Linked DNA regions of Oryctolagus cuniculus. The protein of the gene in region 2 purifies or fractionates together with the protein of the main gene of each other region. This does not show direct contact. Links are inferred from orthologs where the notes say so. Each region holds a gene or a part of one and is shown on either strand. Other genes may lie near its edges.

The links. The genes of interacting proteins can lie anywhere in the genome.
Region 1: the proteins of RNF123 (region 2) and UBAC1 purify together in Homo sapiens (affinity purification with mass spectrometry; 7 studies listed by BioGRID and IntAct, counting the BioPlex papers as one, with this or other methods). This does not show direct contact. The link is inferred for Oryctolagus cuniculus from reciprocal best matches to the Homo sapiens genes RNF123 and UBAC1.

The regions. Positions count from the first base shown.
Region 1 is NC_091432.1:236,908,174-236,910,707, forward strand, and holds part of UBAC1 (ubiquitin-associated domain-containing protein 1), read left to right. Parts: intron 1-101; coding exon 102-291; intron 292-2,342; coding exon 2,343-2,429; intron 2,430-2,534.
Region 2 is NC_091441.1:99,575,487-99,579,563, forward strand, and holds the start of RNF123 (E3 ubiquitin-protein ligase RNF123), read right to left. Parts: upstream 2,801-4,077; 5' UTR 2,659-2,800; intron 2,365-2,658; exon of another isoform or gene 2,268-2,364; intron 1,855-2,267; exon of another isoform or gene 1,337-1,854; intron 1-1,336. Other genes in the region: MST1 (hepatocyte growth factor-like protein), read left to right, coding at 3,141-3,234, 3,893-4,040. UniProt on the Homo sapiens protein: Catalytic subunit of the KPC complex that acts as E3 ubiquitin-protein ligase. Promotes the ubiquitination and proteasome-mediated degradation of CDKN1B which is the cyclin-dependent kinase inhibitor at the G0-G1 transition of the cell cycle.

The sequences.
Region 1 (2,534 bases), on a different chromosome or scaffold from region 2:
TGTGTTGGGCGGCGGCTGAGGGGTCCTGGGGTGGAGGCGTCTCCCGGGCGCAGGGCCGTGAGGGCCTGGCGGTGCTGGGACGGCGTCTCGCTCCCTTGCAGCATGTCCGTGCCGCAGGCCATGGAGTGGCTGATCGAGCACGCGGAAGACCCCACCATAGACGCGCCTCTGCCGGGCCAGGCCTCGCCCGGAGCTGCTGAAGGGGGCGCCGAGGACGAGGAGGCCAGAGACGAGCTGACGGAGGTCTTCCAGAGGATTCGGAGGAGAAGGGAGTTCCGGGCGGACGCTCGGGTGCGTGGGGCGGCGCCCGCGTGGCCGCCGCCGCCGTCCCCGGAGGCCGCGTTGTATCGGGAAGCTTGGGTGCGCTGCTGACGCCTGCTGAGCCCGCGAGCCGGGAGCCAGGGAGGGAGGTCAGACAGGCCGGGCCCCGCTGGCATGGCCACGTCCCTTGTGGGCATCCTCGCTGGGAGCCCGGGGGCTGAGCTGCCTCTGTGTGGTCAGGCAGCCTGCGCGTCCCGTCCTCCGCGTGCCCCTGAGCTGCACCTGTTGTGGGCGGGGCCCTTGAGCAGAGCTGCAGGGTCGTCCTGCGGGGCTGCCTGTCTTGTGAGGCGTCTGCAGGGGTCAGCGCCTGGCCAGGGCGGGTGACTGGAGCGCCCGTGGCCCTCAGCGCCCTCGCCGGCTCTGTCTCCGCAGGCCCCGTCGTTGATCAGGGCTCCGACCCCTCCCTGGCGTTTGTGATGGTCGGGAACGGTCAGGGCGGGAGTCTGTGCAGCCGCGGGGGGTGGGCAGCCTGCAGGCAGCCGCGTGCAAGCCAGAGCTGGGCAGTGGGCCTTGTTTTTCTTTCCTGTTTTCAAGGAGTTGTTTGTTTATTTGAAAAGCAGAGTTTTCAGAGGAGAGAGAGGGAGGGAGGGGAGAGAGGGGAGGGAGGGGAGAGAGAGAAGGAGGGGGAGGGGAGGGGGAGGGGGGGAAGGGAGAGAGGGAGGGGTCTTCCATCCCCTGGTTCACTCCCCAGTGACTGCAGCGGCCAGGGCTGGGCCAGAGCCAGGAGCGCCATCCGGGTCTCCCACATGGGTGCGGGTCCGGACCACTTGGGCCGTCTTCCGCTCTTTCCCAGGCCATCAGCTGGGAGCTGGAGCAGAGACATGGGATGCCGGTGTCGCAGGCGGCGGCTCCACCCTCTGTGCCAGGAGCCGGCCCCTGGATTTCTTTTAGGGGGGCACACGCGCCGACTTAGGTTTAGCAAAACGGATGTGCCTGTGGCCTGTGCGCGGCGAGTGGGAGGAGGGAGACGCACCACTGGGGAGGCGGCCTGTCTGCGGGAGAGGCCAGCTGGGGGCCTCTACCCCTCTTCCGGCAGTGCCCCAAGGTCCAGAGCTCCCCTTAAGGGGCAGTGCATGTCTCTCCTGCTCCTGGGAGGCGGTGGCAGGCACCTGCACGGCACAGGCCTCCCGCCCACGGCCGGGCAGGTTCTGGACGGTTTCTGCCGCCTCTGACCCTGCTGTGGCGTGCAGGTGGCTTCGCAGGGCGTGCGTCTCACCATGACCTCTGCCGAGGCCTTCGTGTGTCCCCGGGGGTCCTGTGGGACCCGAGGAGCCCGGTCTGCTCCGGCAGAGCTGAGCAGGCCCCAGCCCGGAGCCGGTGTCGGCCGTCCTGGGCCCTGAGGGCTGCGGAGAGCGGGCTGTCCCCGCGCCTGCCCACATCCGTCCCGGCCTTCCACGTCAGTGCCTGCCCGCCACCTGGGGGCGAGGGCCGCCTTCGCGTGTGTGGGGACGTTGGGCCCCACCCTCAGGCCCTGGCCCTTGGAGACCCCGGCCCGTGCTGTGTCTCCTCCGTGTCTGGCAGCCCGCCTGTCTCATCGCAGCCTGGCGGGGTCCCCGTGCCCTTGGTTGCGTGTGCTGCTCTGAACCCGGCGTGGTCCTCGTGGTGTGCCCCTGGCTACTGCCGTCTCCTGTCACCATCCGAACCTTCTGAGACAACCAGCTTTCACTCTTGCCTAGGGCCTACGCCTCTCGCGTTGAGTTGCCGGGAAAGGGGTCAGGCCTGAGGGTGGCAGCTCGGCCCTCCACCCTCTGGTTTGTGAGCCAGGGCGAGGCTGGAGATAGTGCAGTGAGGGTCACCCTGGCTCGGCCGAGGGGGCGGAGTGGACGCCTGCTGTCCCCCTGCCCCCCTGCCAGGGCACCGCCTCCTGGCCTGAGAGACGGGAGCAGGGTTGGCTTCGCGGAGGCTGGACCGTGACCTGGCAGGAGTCCCCGGCTGTGCTGGGCCCTGGGTGGAGACGCGCGTGTGGGGCCCGCTGGCGGAGGGCGAGGTGCCTGCTGCTCCTGACGCCCCGTGCCCCCCAGGCCGTGGTCTCCCTCATGGAGATGGGCTTCGATGAGAAGGAGGTGCTGGACGCCTTGCGCGTGAACAACAACCAGCAGAGTGCCGCCGTGAGTATGGGGGGGGGGCGCCCCGCCCTGGACCTGCCTGGTGCCCCCCGCCCCACCCCGCCCTGGACCTGCACAGTGCCCCCCCCCCCCGCCCTGGACCTGCAC
Region 2 (4,077 bases):
AAATGTCTCAGCTCTGGGGAGATCAGACCAAAGCAAGATGACCTAGGCAGAGCCCCTGTATCCAAGTCTGTCATAAGCTACACTGGGCCCAGCTCACACTCAGGACAAAGAACCCCACAGCACATTCCCGCAAGTGCAGACACGGCTGCTGGCTCCACCCTCAGCCACAGGCCCAGGTACACCGCTGACGTCAGGACCTCTCCTCAGGCCCGGTCCCACCAGTTTTCTCGTTCCCACTCACACATACGACTTCCCACTCCATCCACGCACCACGCCTGCTCAGCCCTCATTGCAGACTTCATTGTTCTTCCCACCACGGTCAAGCCCTCACGTGTCATTTGCTATAGCTGCTCCAGAACCTGCATTAAGTTCCTGGTGCTGGCCTATGGCCTACAGCTGTGTTGCCCAACACAGTGGTTATTTAAACCCGAATTAAAGTTTTAAAAATTAAAAATTCAGGGCTGGGGCTGGGGCTGGGGCTGGCGCTGTGGCATAGCGGGTAGAGCCACCACCTGCGGTGCTGGCATCCCACATGGGCAGCAGTTTGAGTCCCAGCTACTCCACTTCCAACCCAGCTCTGTGCTATGGCCTGGGAAAGCAGAAGATACCCCAAGTCGCTGGGCCCCTGCACCTGTGTGGGAGACCCAGAAGAAGCTCCAGGCTCCTGGCTTTGGGGAGTGAACCAGCAGATGGAAGACCTCTCTCCCTCTCTCTCTGTCACTCTCTTTAACTCTTTCAAATAAATAAATAAATCTTTAAAAAAAAATTCGGGGCCATTGCTGTAGCACACCACGTTAACCCGCTGCTCGCAACGCAAGTATCTCATATAAGAGTACAGGTGCAAGACCAGGTTACTCTCTCTTTTTTTTTTTTTTTTTTTTTTGACAGGCAGAGTGGACAGTGAGAGAGAGAGACAGAGAGAAAGGTCTTCCTTTGCCGTTGGTTCACCCTCCAATGGCTGCCGCGGCCAGTGCGCTGCGGCCGGCGCACCATGCTGATCCGATGGCAGGAGCCAGGTGCTTCTCCTGGTCTCCCATGGGGTGCAGGGCCCAAGCACTTGGGCCATCCTCCACTGCACTCCCTGGCCACAGCAGAGAGCTGGCCTGGAAGAGGGGCAACCAGGACAGAATCCAGCGCCCCAACCAGGACTAGAACCCAGTGTGCCGGCACTGCAGGTGGAGGATTAGCCTAGTGAGCCGCGGCACCAGCCTTCAAACATAAATCTTTTTTAAAAATTAAAAACGTGGGCCTAGCCTTGTGGCACAGCAGGTCAAGCCACCACCTGCAATGCTGGCATCCGTGTGAGTGCAGGTTTGAATCCAGCAGTTGCACTTACCGTTCCGTTCCCTGCTAATGCGCCTGGGAAAGCTGCGGAAGATGACCCAAGCATTTGGGTCCCTGCTGCCCCGTGGGGGAGACCTGGATGAAGCTTCTGGCTTCAGCCTGGTCCAGCCCTAGCTGTTTCGGCCATTTGGGGAGTGAACCAGTGGACGGAAGATCTCTCTTTTCTGTCTTTCAAATAAGTAAACCAATCTTTTAAACAAAATTAAAAATTCAGTTGCTCAATTAGCCCCACTTCAAGGGCTCAGCGACCACATGTAGCTAATGGCTGCCATGCCGGACAGCACAGCTGGAGCGCATCTCTGCCATCACACAAAGTTCTAGCCGCTCCCTTCTAGAGCTCGGCCCTCCGGCACAGCCTTAGCCCAGTCTCTTATCTCACCCCAAACAGGCCCTCTGCTACCCTCACGAACCCTCGCCTCCCCGCACCACCCTTGCCTGCTGGGTGATTCTCCCGCCCTGCCACCCATCTGCGGACCCTCGGCGGGCGTCCACGATTAGAGCCCCGCCTCCTCTCACACCAGAGTAGCTGTAGGAATGATCTGACGCGGTCACTCCCTGACCAGCAAACCTTGCAGACACCCCCCACCCACCCACCCACTCCAGCTGTCAGGCGCTGAGGACCCAGGTGAAAGGCGGACCCTGCCCCTGTCCGAGGACTCCTTGCCACGGCAATCCTGCCCAGTCCCGCCAAAGGACTCCGTCTCGGAGTCCAAGGACGCCGAGGGCAGCAGCGCACGGCTCCCCCAAGTCGCCCCCGTCTAGCCCCAAGCTCCAGAAGACCTGCCAGGACAGCACCCGCCCGGAGTCCCGCACCACAGGCCGCCATTCCACGCGCGGCGGGCGCCCTGGCACTGGACATGCCTGGGCCGCGAGGGGAGCCACGGGGACCCGCCCCGCTCAGAGCCCGGCCTCCCCTCACTCACCCCCAGCCTCGGCCGCCGCGACCGGCTCACAACATCCGCCCAGCCTCTCAGCTACGGCGCCCGTCCAGGGCCAAGCCGCGCACCCAATCGCGCGCCGCCGTCCGCGCACGCGCACCGGCCCGCGACCGGCCTCCGCCGGGGAGCCCGGTTCCGTGGCCACCTGCCGGGTCTTCCTGGCGTTGGCTTCCCGAGAGGGTCCACCTGCTTCTGACCCCTGCGTGCCCTGGGGCGCTCCTAGCCCACACGCGATTTCCCATCGGGGACCCTAGACCACCTGTCAACTCCTACCTGACCCAGATGTCCCCCAGCCCGTCTGAAAGGCCCCGCAGCAGGAGTTCCGCTGCCTGTCACCCCCCTCCCCTATTTAAGGCCAGCGCGTGCCCTTACTCACCTTCGCAAGATGAGGCTTCTGGCAGGTGGCGTGGGCCTCCCTGGGTTCGGCTGCCAGGGGCGTGGCCTGACTTGCCTACAGCTGGGGCAGATAAGGCACCAAAAGGGGGTGGCCGTGCTGCGGTTGGGGCAGGCAATGTTCCCCACATCACAGGGGAAAACTGAGGCTCGGAAAATGTTCACGTTACCAGGCAGGGGCTGGAACCCAGGCCTCTGGCAGCTGCCATGTCCACAGGTTCTCTGGCAGTCTAGGCTTGTCCACCCCTGGTCTGTGGCACCTCAAGTGTCCTCACTTCCTGATACCTGCCCACTACATAGAGAGGCCTCTTAGGGGCCTAGCTGTGTCAGGATGAGGCTTCTGCATCTGACTCACGGAGCCTGAGGCCTGGGCCCTACTGGCTCCTGCCACAGGGTCTCTCTGGCCGTGGGGGCGTGGGCCTCGAGCCACCCAATCCCGAAGGGACAGGTTTCACAACTTCCCGGATGGGGCTGTGGTGGGTCACAGTGCAGCCTCCAGCAGGCAGGATGAGGTGGCTCCCACTGTTGCTGCTTCTGACGTGGTGCTCAGGGGCCCCTGGTGAGTGCCCCCTTCCCCGATCCCTGTCTGCATTCAGGAGGAGGTTGGCCTCGGGCCCACGCTAACCTGACCACGAGGTCAGTTCCCGGCTGGGCATGGCCAGGTGTCCTTGACTTCTTGCAGGGAGCTGGGAAGCCCTGGGAACGCACAGCCACGGTGTCGCTGAGGCCTCCATCTGCTGCAGCACTGAGGCAGTGCTGGGACCAGAGGCACCCACACAGCAGGCAGAGACCGCCCCTGAGCCTGCTCTCCCCTCTAACCTAGCAGGTGCCATTGTGCTCCTGACAGCCCAGACACAAAGTGAGACTGCCTAGGCTGGGTGCCCGCCGGAGGCACCAGGGTTCTGAGCTTTAGCATTCTCCTTTAAGAGATGAAATGGGACGAGCTTTATAGAGCAAGCCCCATCACCCAGTGCTGCCACGGAGTGCACATGTTACACCTGAGCCCGGTGCCTACTGGGAACCACTGTGTCTGGGCCTGCCTCTCCCACCCTATGCAGGGGGCGCTGAGCTGGCCCTGAGAGTGCACACAGGACCCATCTTGTATCTTTGATCCCCTGAACGGACAGTGTGGGGTCATGCCAGTACACACACCGTGACTCACGCTATGACATGTGCTCCCACCTGCCCTGTGCCCACCACTGTTGGCCACCCTGCAGGGCAGCGGTCAGCACTGAACGACTTCCAAGTGCTCCGGGGCACAGAACTGCAGCACCTTCTCCATGCAGTGGTGCCTGGGCCTTGGCAGGAAGATGTGGCAAACGCTGAGGAGTGTGCTGGGCGCTGCCAGCCCCTACTGGACTGCCGGTGGGTGACCAAGGGACCCAGATGAGTCCAGGCGCAT